2 linked regions of the Notamacropus eugenii genome follow. The protein of the gene in region 2 interacts with the protein of the main gene of each other region in a pairwise test. Links are inferred from orthologs where the notes say so. Each region holds a gene or a part of one and is shown on either strand. Other genes may lie near its edges. The genes, in order: LRRC8E and LNX2.

The links.
Region 1: the proteins of LNX2 (region 2) and LRRC8E interact in a two-hybrid assay, tested with the Homo sapiens proteins (3 studies listed by BioGRID and IntAct). The link is inferred for Notamacropus eugenii from reciprocal best matches to the Homo sapiens genes LNX2 and LRRC8E.

Annotation. Positions count from the first base shown.
Region 1 is NC_092875.1:51,718,482-51,726,830, forward strand, and holds the start of LRRC8E (volume-regulated anion channel subunit LRRC8E), read left to right. Parts: upstream 1-5,091; 5' UTR 5,092-5,177; intron 5,178-8,349. UniProt on the Homo sapiens protein: Non-essential component of the volume-regulated anion channel (VRAC, also named VSOAC channel), an anion channel required to maintain a constant cell volume in response to extracellular or intracellular osmotic changes.
Region 2 is NC_092876.1:195,754,226-195,763,142, forward strand, and holds the start of LNX2 (ligand of Numb protein X 2), read right to left. Parts: upstream 3,488-8,917; 5' UTR 3,349-3,487; intron 2,704-3,348; 5' UTR 2,531-2,703; intron 1-2,530. Other genes in the region: protein POLR1D, read left to right, coding at 4,321-4,634.

The sequences.
Region 1 (8,349 bases), on a different chromosome or scaffold from region 2:
CCTGACCTGAGCACCTGAACTTAATCTCACACTGAACAGCAGCCCTGCCCCCGCCCAAAGCCCTGAGGCTGGGAAGCAGCATTTGAATCTCAGACCCCAAGCGCTGGCTGGGCGGATCTGGAGGTGAGGTGGGGGGTGGAGAGGACACTCAGAAGTCAAGTCACTGGCTGGGAAAATGCCTAGAAAAGGGGAAAAAAAAAAGACTATAGAAGGTTACTTTCTTGGTGAACAGGCATTTCCTCCCTTCCTTTCTGATGAGGAAGAACAATGTTTACCATCAGGGAAAAAACGCAGAAGTCAAGGCTTCTGTATCCCAGCCCACCCAATGGGCTCAGGCCATGGAAGAGCTCAAAAAGGATTTCGAAAATCAAGTTAGAGAGGTGGAGGAAAAACTGGGAAGAGAATTGAGTGACATGCAAGCAAAGCATGAAAAACAAGTAAACACCCTGCTAAAGGAGACCCAAAAAAATGCTGAAGAAAATAACACCTTGAAAAATAGGCTAACTCAACTGGCAAAAGAGGTTCAAAAAGCCAATGAGGAGAAGAATGCTTTCAAAAGCAGAATTAGCCAAATGGAAAAGGAGATTCAAAAGCTCACTGAAGAAAATAGTTCTTTCAAAATTAGAATGGAACAGATGGAGGCTAATGACTTTATGAGAAACCAAGAAATCACAAAACAAAACCAAAAGAATGAAAAAATGGAAGATCATGTGAAATATCTCATTGGAAAAACAACTGACCTGGAGAATAGATCCAGGAGAGACAATTTAAAAATTATGGGACTACCTGAAAGCCATGATCAAAAAAAGAGCCTAGACATCATCTTTCATGAAATTATCAAGGAAAGCTGCCCTGAGATTCTAGAACCAGAGGGCCAAATAAGTATTCAAGGAATCCACAGATCACTGCCTGAAAGAGATCCAAAAAGAGAAACTCCTAGGAACATTGTGGCCAAATTCCAGAGTTCCCAGGTCAAGGAGAAAATATTTCAAGCAGCTAGAAAGAAACAATTCAAGTATTGTGGAAACACAATCAGGATAACACAAGATCTAGCAGCTTCCACATTAAGGGATCGAAGCGCGTGGAATAGGATATTCCAGAAGTCAAAGGAACTAGGACTAAAACCAAGAATCACCTACCCAGCAAAACTGAGTATAATACTTCAGGGGAAAAATTGGTCTTTCAATGAAATAGAAGACTTTCAAGCATTCTTGATGAAAAGACCAGAGCTGAAAAGAAAATTTGACTTTCAAACACAAGAATGAAGAGAAGCATGAAAAAATAAATAGCAAAAAAAATTAAAGTCAGGCAAGTGGAAGCTAATGATTCTATGAGATATCAAGAATCAGTCAAACAAAACCAAAGGAATGAAAAAACAACAATGTAAAATACCTCATTGGAAAATAGATCCAGAAGAGACAATTTAAAAATTATGGGACTACTTGAAAGTCATGATTAAAAAAAAGAGCCTTGACACCATCTTTCAAGAAACTATCAAGGAAAACTTCCCTGATATTCTAGAACCAGAGGGTAGAATAAATATTGAAGGGAAGGACAAAAGATCTATCAAAAATATCAAGGGAATCAATGAAAAAAATATGAAGAAAGGTGGCTTGGCAATACCAGATCTCAAATTGTATTACAAAGCAATAATCATCAAAACAATTTGATTACTTGCTAAGAAGTAGAGTGGTAGGTCAATGGAATAGATTATGTACACAATATAGAGTAATAAATGGCCATAATAACATAATGTTTTATAAACCCAAAGATCCAAGCTTTGGGGACAAGGACTCACCATTTGACAAAAACTACTGGAAAAACTGGAAAGCAGTTTGGCAGAAATTAGGTATAGACCAGCATCTCACACTGTATACCAAGATAAGGTAAAAATGGGTACATGATTTAAACAAATAGGGTCCTGCCATAAGCAAATTGGAGGAGCAAGGAATAGTTTACCTGTCAGATTTCTGTATAAGGGAAGAATCTGTGACCAAACAAAAAACAGAGAGCATCACAGAATGCAAAATGGATAATTTTGATTACATTAAATTAAAAGGATTTTGCACAAACAAAACCAATGAAGCCAAAGTTAGAAGGAAAGCAGAAAACTGGGGAAATTTTACAGCAAGTTTCTCTGATAAGGGCTTCATTCATCAAATACATAGAGAACTGAGTCAAATTTATAAGAACATAAGATATTCCCCAATTGATAAATGGTTGAAGGATATAGACAGGCAGTTTTCAGATGAAGAAAGTCAATTGGAAAAAATGCTCCAAATCACTATTAATTAGAGAAATACACATTAAAATAATTCCAAGGTACCACCTCACACCTATCACATTGGCTAATAAGAAAGAAAAGGAAAATGACAAATGTTGGAAGGAATGTGGGAAAGTCTGAATACTAATGCACAGTTGATGCAGTTGCAAATTGATTCAACCACTCTGGAGAGCAATTTGGAACTATGCCCAAAAAGCTATAAAATTGGGCCTATCCTTTGACCCAGCAACAAGTCTATATCCCAAAGACATTTTTTTTAAAAGAAAAAGGATCTATATGTGCCAAAAAAATTTATAGCAGTTTTATGGTGGCAAAGAATTGAAAATTGAGGGGTTACCCATCAATTGGGGAATAGCTGAACAAGTTGTGGTATGATTGTGATGGAATACTATTGTGCTATAAGAAATGAAGAGAAAGATGCTTTCAGAAAAAGACATGAACTGATACAAAGTGAAATAAGTAGAACCAAGAGAACTTTGTACCCAGTAACGGCAATATCATACAATGATCAACTGTGAATGACTTAGCTATTCTCAGCAATACAATGATCTAAGATAATTCCAAAGGACTCATGATAGTAAAAATGCTATCCACCTCCAGAGAAAGAATGGTAGAGTCTGAATGCAGATTGTGATAGAGTCTGAATGCAGATTGAAACATACTTTAAAAAAAACTTTATTTTCCTTATTTTGGGGTGGTGTTTTTTTTGGTCTTTGTTTTTTTTTTCACAAGATGACTAACGTGGAAATATGTTTTGCATCATTGCACATGTGTAATCTACATGAAATTGAGGACAGAATTTGGATCTTGAAAATTTTAAAAAACAGATGTTAAAAATTTTTGCACATAATTGGAAAAAAGCATTAAAAAATTTATTAATTGTCAATGTGCTAAGTGCTGGGGATACAAAAAGAGGCAAAAGATTGTTCCTGCCCTGGAGGAGTTTACACTAGGAAAGAAAACACGAAAACAAATACATTCAAAGTAAGCTACAAATAGGGTAAATAGGACATATATAACAGTGGAAAGGCACTGGAATTAAGAGGGGTTGGTAAAGACTTCCAATAAAGGAAGGGATTTTAGCTGGCTCTTAAAGGAAGCCAGGGAAGTCTGTAGTTGGAGTAGAGAAGGGAGAGCATTCCAGGCATGTAGAAGAGCTGGAGAAATTGCCTAGAGCCAAGAGAGGGAATGCCTTGTTTGTGGAATAGCCAGGAGGCCAGTGTCACTGGATCGAAATGAAAGTATTGGGAAGCAAGGTATAAGAAAACTAGAAAGGTAAGAAGGATCCAAGTTACAAAAGGATTTGAATACCAACCGAAGCATTCTGTATTTGCTTTTGGAGGCAATAGGAAGCCATTGAGGTTGATTGAGTAAGAAGGTGACATGATTAGATCAAAGTTTTAGAGAAATCATTTTAGTAGCTGAATGAAAGACAGAGTGGGGAGAGACCTGAGGCCCGCAGAACCCCTCCCTCCCCCAGTAGGCTGTTGTAATAATCAAGGCTTGAGGTGATGAGGGCTTGCACAAGAGGGGTGGCAGCATCAGATGAGAGAAGGGGAGAGTAGTGGAAATCTCCAATTTCCACAGACTTAGGTGTCTGTGCATTTTCTAAGCCTCCTCAGCTTCTTTACTTTTCAATGGGGGGAGAAGAGGGAAAATGTGGCAAAAAAAAAAAAAAATGATAAAAGTGTAAGAGAGATGAGAAGAGAAGGAGAGGTTGTGGCCTGTGAGTCACAGTGCCTCAGGTGAGCTAAGGACTCAAAGGACTGACCTCTTATGCTCAGCTCACCTAACCTGACATCCCCTGATTGAGCTCTTTGCTAGCTCTCCGTTCAGCCAGCTTACCCTCTTTAGGAACAGACAGGGAAGATAGATATAGTTTAAGTGAAGCTAGGTAGGACAGGATCCCTGGGAGACAGGAGAGCTCCAGCTCAAGTCCTTGTTCAGGTCCCAATGCCTGGAGCCCTTCCTTTGAACCCTCCTTTTTCTGCCTGCTGGTGACCATAGAGGCTCCACTGGTCAGAGGGAAGAACGGACATAGGTTAGTTACTGTCTGCTCCCTCTTATCAGAATCTATGTCCAGGTTTACTCATCAGAAGCTCTCTTCTCTCTTTCCAACCCTTGGGTTAACTAGCCTTTTAAGATCCTACATTTCCTCTTCCCCAATTTTTGTTCTGAGCCGGATGAGCCTGCAGGACTGATGTGAAAGGAGTGGAACCCCTTGGGCTGGCCATGTAGTTTCCCTGCAGCTATTGGACATAACCACTACCCCCTGGAGGAGTGGCTGGATGAGGGTTCTAACTCCCTTGGTGCTGACTCCCTAATATTCCCTCTTCTGGATTGGTCTGGGGATTGGTTGGCTGAGGGGAAATCATTAAAGGACCCCACTTCTTTCCCTCTCCCTTAGCTGGAACTGCTGATCTGGGGAGAAGAGAAGGAAACGCTAGACAGTCGGGAGGCAGGGTGCCTGAATCTTTTTTTCCCTTAGAATGACCTGTTAAGTGCCTAAGGCTTAGTTTCCCCTGAAGGTCCAGTACAAAGTCCTACAGGACAGTCATCTAGCTTCCTTTGAGGCTGACCTCAAATGACTGGCTCTGTCCCCAGAGAACCCAACTACGTTGCCCAGTTTAGAAGACTCCCCTGATTTGCTTGAAAGCCCAGACATTTGAATCCTGGTACCCTCCGCCTCAGTTTCCCTTTCCCTCCAGTCTCTGGCCCGAGTAGGGCTGGGGTGAGGGGCGGGACCAGGTGGGCGGAGCAGCTCCGGCTCCTCAGCTCCAGCGGCCACGCCCGACTTGACTCACCCGCCCGGCCCCGGTGCTGCTCGGGACGTCCGGAGGAGACCGGAGCGCATTCCCCGAGAGCTGGGACTGAGTCACTGCTGCACCGGCGGGTGAGTCAAACGAGGGGTCTGTTCCTAGAGCAGATTCAGTTCTGAGAATGGGGATCTATCCCGGCAGGGGAATCCCCTCGGAGGACGGGGATCTGTCCGGAAGGCTAGGGATCTGGACCAGGAGAATGAGGCTCTGTCCCGAGAGCTTGGCGGGAGGGAGTTGTCCCTGTACGGGGAGGAGGACCTGCTGGGAGAACGGAGGTCTGTCCCGAAGGCTGGGGAGCTGCACCTGGAAATCGAGGACTAGTGTGGAGAGCGAGGGGAGAGTGGGAATTATCCCCCCGACAGGGAGATCTGCTGGGACAGTTGAGCTGCGTACGCCACCACACACAGTCTGCCGGGAAAAGAGCGAGATCTACCCCCGGGCAATTGTCGGTGCCATTGAGGCTGAGCCCCTGAACTGGGGGTGGGGGGGAGAAAAGAGCTGAGAGAAGACTTATTCGGGATTCCCTCCTAGTCCCGACCTCTTTTACCCTAAACCCCAGTCCTCATAGATCCTGTTATGGGGCCCAGTCCAGATCTCTTCTACTCTGAGCCCCTGTCACCATAGACGGTCCCCTGACTTATGAAGCGATTGTTTCCCTATCCAGACCCCAGACCCCAGGCCCTGAGATTCCAGTTTCAAAATCCCAATTCCTATTCCTCGATTTTTGACTCCTATCTCTCCAGTCAGCTTTGAGATCCTCAGTCCTCAGCATATTGACACTCCACTATCCTGTCCTTTGGACTAGCCTGTGATTTGGCCAATTAACAAATATTTGGGTGTCTGCCTTCTAGGGATTTCCAATCTCCTAGAAGAGTTAAGACAAGGTTGAAGATAGCTAATCCATAATGAATCCAGTATCATAGGGCAGAGGCCAAGATCTCTAGCCAAAGAATAGGTAGGGGCTGTCTGCTCAGATAGAGCTGGAATGGTCTGGGAAGGCTTCCCACAGGTGAGTCTTGGGTCAAGCACTGAAAGCCCAAGATGGAGAGGATTTATAGAACAAAAGGGGGAAGGACATCTAGAAAAAGGGGTGACAGAGCAAAGGTTAGGGCAGACGAATGAGGAGGGGATGGTGCTTGGAGCAGAAGGAGACATGACCTTGCAGGGGTAGGTTGGGGCCAGTTAGAAGAACATCTCAAGTACCCACTGCAGTGCCTTTTTTTCCCCTCTAGGGTGGGAAAGCCATGGAAAGTCAGGGCAGGGACATGGTCAGACCTGGACTTTAGGAAGATACTTGGTAATTTATGCCAGAAATATCATCTAGAGGTGAGGCAAGAGATGGAAGGGAGGCTGGTCAGGAGGCCATTGTCAGGTAAATGAAGTGCATGCGTCCCCTGGCTTCTCTTTTCTGTGACCTTCCTGTCCCCATCTACTCTGCCTCAGGCATCCAGGGCTCAAATCTTCCCTTACAGATCTGATCTTAGGAAAAGAACAGATGAATCTCTTTGACAAAGGAGTCAGTGACTGAAATGACTGGCTAGGGGACCCTCCCACATATTGGCATTTTGTCAGGGTTAAATGCCTTCAAAGGAATGAAGTCCTGATGATGGGATATCAGGCCTTCCTCAGGGGTCCAGAGCCTGCTTTGAAGTGTCTGAAATCACCGTAGGTCATAGGGTAGATGCTGCCCATCACTTGAGAATTCATTGCTTAGAGGTCTATTATCCTTGGGCCCTTCCACCAGAATCGTTTTCAGACAATGTCCTTGCGCGTGGAGACAGTCATGTGTCTATGGGGGCTTAATGATAGGTTTGGGACCACAAAGTTAGAATTAAAGACAGACAGAGATAATGACAATTCCATGTGTCTGCCAATCTATATGCCACTCTACATTTGGGGCTCTGTCTGGGACTGTGTGTGTTTTTGTGTCCATCTGTCTGGAATGGATTTCTTGTCTGATGTTGTTCATCTCTGCCTCTGTTTATCTGTACCTCTCTGTGTTTGTGACTAGGATTGTGTCTGTCAGTATTTAAGAGAGACTGGTGGGTTGGTGACTATTTCCCTGGGTTTGCTCAATATTTCTATGTGAGCCTGTAACTGAGTAACCAACGATGAGTAAGACTGGGTCTACTGTGATTGTGTATCTATCTGATTGGGTGTTTGAGATGCACGATGGGGACTGGGATTCTTCCTCAGTATTTGTCTTTCTTGAGTACATTTCTAAGATTTTCTCTGACATGGTAGGAACTGATGCAGAAACAAGGGCTTTGTGACCTAAGCTTATCGATAAGTGGTGCATTGGATTTAGTTAGGTGTTTTTTTTTGAGGGGGGTTGTTATTTTTGTCCATCTTTCATTCTCAAAGAGGACAAATGATATGACTTTTGGGGGGGTGGAGGATGGGAGAAGATTTGATGTTGGCTGTGGAAAGTGAGACTTACAGTGATAGACATAATTAGGTGTTTAACAAATGACTTCCATGCTGATCTGCTGTGAAAACCAGAACAATTCAAAATATATTAAGCTCCTACTAAGCACCTCTCTTAGGGACTGGAGGATGTGGAGAAATAATATTGCTTGCTCTTAAGGAGGTGATATTCTATGTTAGGGGACACGATGTGAACAAAAATATTTATAGGACAAGGAAAACGGAGGAGCAAGGTAGAATCAAGGAAGACCTTGGGGAGGAGGGGATGGAACATCAATTGAGTCTTGAAGGGACCGTGAGGTTGAGCAGGGAGGGCCTTCCAGGCATGTGTCATGTGAAGAGTGCCCAGAGACAAAATTTGGATCAGGGAGGATGATCCCTAGAGCTACATCCAGGAAAATCGACAGTCTTTCTGTTTGACAAGAACTGATCATTGGTGAAGGGGAGTCCTATGAAAAAAGATTGGAAAGGAATGTGGGAGCCAGATTGCAGTGGGCTTTAAGCAGTTTGTCACTAGAGATAGGCAGCAGAGGATTATAAAGTTTAGAACAAGGAGAGTGGCAGTGTGGGGCTAGAGGACCAAGGAGTCATGACCCTCTGACCCCAGGTCTTCTATCAGCACTGCCAAGAATATGTCTGTGCAAATGCACTTACACTTTTCTGTTAACACAAATATGCCTACATTTGTGTGTATGCTCTGCAGGCCTATGGTCATGTGGATGTTTCTGTTTTGGTATGTTTTCATGTACCACAAGCAAGCCTGGGTATGGGCGTGTCTGAGTGGGTATGTATCAGTATATGCCAATATCACTGACTGTG
Region 2 (8,917 bases):
TAGCAATTACAACAGAGGAGATCATGGATCTGCTGAAATACTATGATATGCCTGCATTATATGCATTACTTATTTGCATATTTTCTCCTCACATACTATCTTTTCCCTTTCTGAGTGAAAAATACAAAATTTTCTTTTTCCTCCACAAAATTCTCCCACGCTCATTATCAGCATCAAAAGTCCAGATTCTGTGAAATTGGGCAAAAGCAATTAGAGATGTGTAAATTGTATTTAATTAAACCCTGCCAGTAATAACAGACAGTACTTAACCACTCACCATACTTCTTTCAACAATTCTTATCAAGACTTCAAAGACTATATTATTAAGGTAATTCTGGAAACAAAACCCATATAGGCTACTTCAGAACACTCCCTCTTATTCAAAATTCAAACCATCAGAAAGCTTAAAAAAATTTTTTTTCCAATAGTTTGAACTTCTATAAGAAAAGAAGCAAATAAGCGAAGAGATGACACCGGGGATTTATTTTTTAAAGTATACATCAATTATCAGGAAAATACAAATGTAGTCTAATTCTGGATTTATAGTCATGGTATTTTACATTAAGTGTAAATCATTAAACAATAGTTTACACTTATTACTGTACTTTATTGTATTTTAAATTCTGGAAAGACATGAGAATTAGGGGTTAGGAGAGACTTGAACCTGGTTCTGACACCTACTAGCTAAATGACCATAGGCAAGTTAACTTCTTGGAGCCTCAGTATTCCCATCTGCAAAAACAGAGACAGTCCTAGTTAAGAAGTAGTTGAGAGAATACTAAGGTTATGTGAAGAAGAAACAAAATAAATGTCCTTTAAATTTCCATTATAAAAATATGTGAAAACTGGTAGAGGCAGCATGGGTAGAGAGCTGCCAGGAAGCCAAGTCAAATTCAAGTCTCACCTCTGACCCATGCTGGCTTGTGCCATGACCTGAGGGTTAACCTCTCAATGCTTTAGGAACTCTTTAAGTCTAGAAGCTACAGAGAGGATGTGTGCTTGTAATAAATGCATTTATATAATATTTTGTTAAAAAGATACTTTATTCACCAAAAAAGCCCAGTATATTTGTACAATTCTATTTTACAAATGAACAGACTTGACATTTAGAGAGGTTAATCAACTTGCCACCGGTCATCCATCTAGAAAGAGGGGTGTTCTTACCATTCCCAACACAGAATCATGCAGAATCCTGACCCCATTCCCCCAATTACTCTAGATAAATTGGATTTTACAGTAACTCTCTTCTAATCTATTTCACCTTGCTGCCTATATGATTAAAGTTTTTCATAGTAAGCACAAAAACACAAAAACTAACAACTCAAGCATTCAACCTGAAATTCACTACAGGAGAAAAGGATCAATGGGTCTATAAACTCTATTCTAAGGGATTTGGACAGAAACTGGCATTATTTTACATTGGTTCAGACTTGACCTATATTTCACTCATAAAAAAGTCTGTGTATCTCAGGTGAACTAAAAAGGTAAAACTTTGTTATTCAAGATCTACCTGGTCTTTGACAGACAAAAAATAACAATAATAGAAACTCCTTTTCTCCCTCCACTAGCTGTGTGGCCAACGTACAGTAGACATTTGAAGTGTCTGAAGAAATTGTCTTTCAGAGTACATTTTCTAGCCTTTTCCATATGCTCATCACTTGTCACTGATTATATTAATAAAAATCTAGCTTTGTATTTAACCTATGAGAATATAGCCACAATTCAGTCAGTTAAAAAAGGGGGAGGGAAAATAAACGATGAAGGAGTCATGTATAGAGAGAAAAGCACTGATTTCACAGTAATAATATGCTAGAGCAGGCATAAGGTTAGATCATCCCCTTTCTCCCACAGCTCATGGCTTTTCTGACCAATCCTCTTGGCTAGGAGTACATGAGGATGGTTCAAAGAATATGTGCAAGACTTGGGGTAAGAGCACTGAGGTTCAAAAAACAAAAAAAACAAACCCCAGGCCATGTGTAACAGCGACCCCGTTACCTATTTGGACCTCAGTGATTTGAGTGATTTCTTAAGTATCTTTCAGCTATAATCTTTTGATCCTTCTAAGAGCTAGGAAGATGAAACTTATTTGTAAGCTTTTGCTGCTATGGAGAGTGAGGCTGAAACTCACAATTTTAACCCAGCATCAACTAACAGGAGCCTAAAATAGTTTCTTTCTCCCGCACTAAGACTGTTTCACTCTACTCCCTTTCCAGGTTCTGTGATTTTTCTATTTTTTAAAAAATACACTTCCAAGTAGCCCTGGTACACGTTTTTTAAAATGCACAGATCCTGAAAAGTAGCACCTGAAAGAAGAGTATGTAACTGTATTCATAACAGTACATAAACTGGAATGCTAAAATTCAATTCCACTCTACAAACATTTATTAAGCACCTACTACAAAATAAGCGCTGGAACCATCTTCACGGTGAGGAGGGGCCAGGGCCTGTGAATCCATTTGAATAAATTACTTATTACCAGAGAGCTCAGTCGATGCCCACCAGCACCTTCTCTGCATTCACAGCCAGTTACCTGTCCTAGAATACTCAGTCGAGGGAATTTCTACCAGTGCAAAGCTGGAAAGCCTCTGCATCTTAGAGTCCCGAGTTGTCCAGAGTCAAAAAGGTGAGGGGACTTGCGTCAGACGTGCAGCTCTGGGCTCGCTGCCCTTCAGCCTCAACAGGTAACTGTACAGCGTCTTCGACCTACGGCATCCAAGGTGGGAAGAGGTGTCACTTCTTAACGGAAGGCTCGGGGACCACCTCTGCCCTCCTCGGGGCCGATAAGATCTGGGCAGGAAGGTTTCGGGCCACTCTCCTCCACCTCCACCGCCAGCCCAAGAGGGAGGTGATAAAAAGGCAACAGGTGAGGACTGGGGGTGGGGGACCACCTCCCCGCAGCGTCCCGGAGGAAACCAGCAGGGTTGCTCCGACAGCCCACGGAGAGGCGAGGGCTCCTTCCCCAGCTTCCTACCCCGGGATAAGCGCGGTCCCGGCCTGGCCCAGGCTGACTTCTCCCGGAGCGCCCGCCGGGCACCGCCGGCAGCGAGGGCGTCCCTCCCGGGGCCAGATGGGCCAGCCCCACACCCACCCCGCGCCCTGGTCCGGACAAGTCCGAGACGGTCCTCCAGATCTTCCTCCTCCTCCACCTTCGGACAGGAGCCGCCAAGAAGAGCGCGAGGACGCGGTGCCCGGGGAAAGGGGCGCAGCGGGGACGCTCCTCCCCCCCGCCCCGGGGCGCTGGCACCTGAGCCCCGCACGCAGGCAGACAGAAGGTCGCTGCCGCCGCTGAGGCGACGACGAGAACGCCGAGCGGGAGCGAAACGGGAGGCGCAGTCCAAAGTTACTTACCTGGGAATCGAGGGCTACCCCACCGCGGCACGGCGCTCCGGAAGCCTCGGTCCGCTCGGCCGCCTCCGCCGGCTGAGGGGGGAAGAGACGTGACCCGCCTCCGCTTCACCAAAAGCCGCCGCCGCCGCAGCCGCGGGATTCCTGGCAAGAAGCAAACTCCGGCCAAGACTTCACTTACGCCTCAACCGCCCCTGCTTGCTCACATCCCGGGGGCGAGCGCCCGCGACCGAACCGCCTAACCCGACACCCGTTCTAGCCAATCAGACGCGCCTCAGGTCAGGGAGGGGGCGGAGCAGGGAGAGGCTCGCCCTATGGAAGAGCTGAGGGGGTGGGGCGCTAACCCAGCAGAGCCTCCCGGGTTAGAGTGAGTCAGCCCCGCCCCGCTGTTCCCTCCGATCGCCCCTCCCCACCCTCCGGCTCCTTGGCCCGGGCTGTCTCCGTCACTTGCCTGATTTCCCTGCAGAAGACTGGCTCGGAGGCTTCCCCGGGGCTCTGGCCATGGGGAGTGGAACAGCTGGGGGGAAGAGTCACATGTGTGAGGGGGAGGAGAACAAGTGGGGAAAGGCGTGGGGAAATGTGGAAATGGGAGAAGACAGCTGGAGCAGGGAAAAGAGCAAACAGGGGCGGAGGTGGAAACGAGGGAAAGGGCTCAAGCACGTGGGAAAGAACACCTGAGGGAGAGAAAAGGGAAAGGGGAGGCTGGCTGGAGAAAAGGAACAATACGGGAAAGGGAAGGAGGTACGGGGGTGTGGGGCTCCGGGGCTCCGGAAAAGAAGGGATTCCCAACGGAGGACAGAAGAGGAAAAGGAAAGAGACAAATCTTGATAAGAGATGAGGGTTTCGGGGGTCAGGACAGGCCCCGAGGAGAAAGGATAGAGACCAGACCCCAAGTCTCCGCCCAAGCTTAAACGAGACTCGTCCAACTGCCCAAGCTGAGCCTCGAGGCAGGGACCGGATCCCCTCAGGAGACCCATGCAGACACTCTCCTTAGCCCCCGACGCAGCTGATAAAGCGAGCTGGGATTCCCACCCCGGCTTGTCCGCGTGCATTTCGGAGAGGAGCCTCGGCAGGGCTCCCCACGAGGAGGGGGGCGGGCGCGGGGGAGACAGTTGGGGGTGGGCTGGTGGAGGCCTGGGGGAGGGGATCCTCGCCCATTCCCGGATAGGTGCTTTGTGGGGAGGAGGGTCACCTGAGGCGGGGGCTGAGTACCCCCCAAGGTGCCCGGCTGCAGGGAATAGGAATAGTAACGAGCCCTGCCTTTGGAGGAGGGGGAAAGATCCCGCCAGGTGAGGGAGAAGACCACTCCCAAGCGAGGAGGCAAGGCCGGGTCAGGAGAGGGGATTACCCCAAGCAAAGGGGGAGGCCCCGCCGGCGGGAGAGGAGGGCGGGCTAGAAGATAAAAAATCTCTCTGCGGACTAGCGGAAAGGGAGGGGCTCGCCAGGTGAGGGGCGGCCGCTCCCCCGGGCGGGGGCGGGGGCAGAGCCGCCAGGAGGCACCGCCCCTCGGCCGGGTCCTCGCCTCGCCGCGCCGCCGCGGCTCCTCCTCCGGCTCCTCCTTCCTTCCTGCTCAGCCCGCGGGGACCGAGGTATGGGGCACATCCCTGGGGCCGCCCCCGCCACCTGAGGAGCCCGGAAGCTGCCCTCGGCCGCGCCATGGAAGAGGACGAGGAACTGGAGAGGTAACGGTCTGGACAGCGGCGGGTTCTGAGCGGAGGAGGGGAGGACGCCCCGGGGGGCCTGTGGCCCCGGCGTCCGCCTGTGCGGGCCTGGGGAGGCGAAGGGACGGGACGGGACGGGCAGCCTGGGCTGGAGGGGGGGCAGGGAGAGAGGAAATGAGAATCGGTGCCCCCCCCCCAAAAAAGGGAAAGGACACAGTGCTGCGTGTGGGAGGGGAGGAGGAGAAAGATGGGAAAAGTGGTGGGGCTCACTCTCGGGTTTTATTATTGAGAAACGCGGACACCCTGAGATTCCAGAGTAGAATGAATGTGGAAAAAGCAGCAGAAGGAACCGATGGACCCTAGTGCGCATTTATTGCGTGGATAAATGGCTTTCCAGCTAACTCCTACAACGTACATGTTTCTGGTGATTGAAATATTTGGAAAGTATGGTCCCTACCAGGCTCAGGTTTTTATATGGAAAACGGCCTTTGAAGGCTTGCCATGCCTTGGGAAAATGATTGTGATAGCTTCCATAAGGATAATTGGGGTGGGGGGTGAAGGGAGAGGGAAAACTAATTCAGGAGTTCTTCCTTTGGCCCACCAAGAACTTGGGTGGTTTTTTGGTTCATTTTGGGGTAACTGTATTTCAGTATCATTGTTTTCTTGTGTAATCCTGTGTGTAGTTAATTATTTAAAAACATCAGAAGGGCTCCATAGGCTTCACCAGACTGCCAAAGGGGATTCATGACAAAAACAGTGAAGAACCTTTGCCTTAGGAAGAGATAGTTGAATTTTGTTGCTCGAATGATGTTGCATGAAGGGTTGTGGAGGCATGAACTAGGAGAAGGTGGAAGGTTGGTAGAAGTTTCAGACCACTCTCGCTCACCCTTGTTCTTTAACTCTGCTCCCAATCAACAAGCATTTATTTACCTCCTATGGGTCAAGCACTGGGGGTACAAAGAAAGGCTAAAGACAGTTCTTGTTCTCCAGAAGCCCGCCACACACAGTCTAATGGGGTAAAGAAAATGTGACAATTATGTACAAGTAAGATACATAAAGAATAAATTGGGCATAATCATAGATACTGTGATTAAAGAAAGACTTTTTGCAGAAAGTGAGACTTTGAAGGAAACCAGGAGTCAGAGATAGAGAGCCAGCCATGGCAGGCGGCCAGTGAAAATGCCTGGTTGAGTAGAGGATGCAGTGAAGTGGGCAGAGACTTGAGTCAGGAAGACCAACCAGCAAGCTATTCTAGGGGTGAGGCAAAAAAGGCTTGCCTTGGGTGATGGCAGCGTCAGAGGAGTGAAGGGGGCATATGCAAGAAATACTACAAAAGTAGAAGTGACAGGACTTGATTAACAACTGATTGGATATGAAAGGAAAATGGAGTCAAGAATGACAACTTAGTTGTGAGCCTGAGTGACCAAAGAAAGGTGGTGTGCTGAATGATAATAAGGAATTTTGGAAGGAGGAGGACTTACAGAGAAAAATAATGATTTCAGTTTGGGGCATATGAAATTTAAGTTGTTTACAGAACATCCAGTTTGAAGTGTCTAATAGAAAGTTGGAAAGATAAGAGAGACTAGGCTGGACAAATAAAAGGGGGAGGGAATAAGTATCTAGCTTGTCAGGCACTGTATGAAGTATTTTTTACACTTACTTAATCTCAGATGATTGTCATGTATTAAATCTCATAAATATCTCATAGTTCATAAATAGAGCTGAGTGTCATCTGGATAGAGATGATAATTGACCCAGCCCAGGAGAGAGATGGAAAAAGGCTACAGGTTTAGGGGAAGAAAGGCTACAAGTTCACCTGTTAGTCACCTCTGTTCTGCAGTGTTATACTCAGCCCATTTTTAGTCAAATGATTAAGTTAGAAATCTTAAGGTAAAAATTGCATGTTTAGGGAAATTATGGTTACACAGCTTACACAGTTACACAGAGTTTGTTAAGATGTACCAGTATCTTGTCAAGCCAAAAAAAACAAACCCCAATACTGTTCTTAATGATTTCCTCCATTCTAGATTCTTACTGAAGCTTGGCCCCTTACACTTGATTTTCTCTTAGTTATATCCTGTTTCTATACCTAGTCCAAAGTAGTACTTACTCTACCTTGGAATATTGAGGAAATCAGTTCTATACTCTTTGGACTTTGAAGGCTTTTATTCCCTCCATATGGTAACTTATTAGCCTCCTCCTTCCTTGGTTAATGCTTAGTTATCTTTCTCTGATTCCTCACATTCTTTGTTCTTTTCTTGCATATCTCTGCCTCTAGTTTCCCTTAACTGATATTTCTATACCTTTATTGTTCTATTTCTATAACAAAGCTAGGCTCTACCCTCCATCTTGTAATTTGCTTGCTTGTGTATAGTTTGCCAAAGCAAAAAATGGGTCCATCTAATTCCATCCACTGAGAACAAGGTCTATTAATACAATCCTGATGAGTGATAAGACATTGACATATTAGATGAATATCAAGCCTTTATCGTTGTTCTGCCTTCAGTGGTAAAGGTAAGGAAGCACATTAGGTTTTGTTAAGAAGCAAGCATTGAGAGTTTCCTCCCAGAGCTCCCAACAACCTAATATCTCACCAAGTCACATATTAAGTCAGGCAGGTTATGGCAAAGTAGATAGAATGTTGGGCCTGGGGTCAGGAAGACGAGTTCAAATCCATCCTTAAACACTTAACTAGTTTTGTGATCCTGGGCAAATTATTTAACCTTTGTTTGCCTCAATTTCCTCAAATGTAAGATATTAGTAGCACCTACCTCACAGAGTTATTGTGAAGAACGAATGAGATAATATTTGTAAAAAGCCCTTAGCAGAGTGCCTGGCACATATTCACCTTATTATAATTATTATTATGCTTATTCCTCCCCACTCCCAATTTCATAGGTAACATCATGTTATTAGGATGCCACATAACAGAAGATAAGTAGCTTTGACTTTGTTAGAAGGAGGTTCTACTAGGTACTAGACTTTGTAGATCTGATTATCAATCAACAAATATTAAGTGCCTCCTGTTGTCTGGGAATAGATATAGGGACCATCCATCCATCAGGGAGTTTACAGTCTCCTGGGAGGAGTGTCTGCTTGTCCCTGTAGAGCTAAAGATGCTTGGTTGTCCCAGCGATTATGAAAACAACAATACTCTTAACACCTTAATTTTGTATACGAGAATGTGAGAGGAAAAAATACAGACAATTGCTATTTGCCACTAAAGGCAGTGACTAGAAGTGGGAGCATGAAGAATGGACACTGGACTCAAGAGTTAAAAGATCTGGGTTCCAATGTCTGTCGCTACCTCTTTGACCTTAGGCAAGTCATCTCACCTCACTGGGCCTTAGTTTCCTTTCTTTTGTGTGAGGATGTTGAAGTAAATAACTTCTGAGATCCCTTCCAGATCTGGACCTATGACTTCATAACAAACTATATTTGAATCATGAAAAATAGCAAATAGTCAAAGTATGAGAAAAGCATAATCAATAAGTTTAATGTTTTTGGAGAAAATAAATTTAGATCCATACCTTATACTATGTACCATAACATAGATCAATGAATTAAATTTCAAGGTATATTCGTTTCCATTCAGACTATATTCATTAAGCACATATTGTTTGTCACTCACTGTCTATATAAAGACAGAAAGAAGCCCATCCCTCAAACAACTGATGGATGATCTACTGGGAGGAAACAACATGTGCATGATACTCTACTAAATGTACAAAGATGGAGAAATAACAAAATGTCTATCCTCAAGGAGTCTGTAATATACTAATGGGGATAAGGCACATACAATCAGCCAAATACAAAGCACAATATGATACAGTAAAGGAGAGGTGTAAGAATTAGGAGGAAGAGGCCAGAACCTTGGAAGATAAATATACTTACTAGTTTTGAAGAAGATG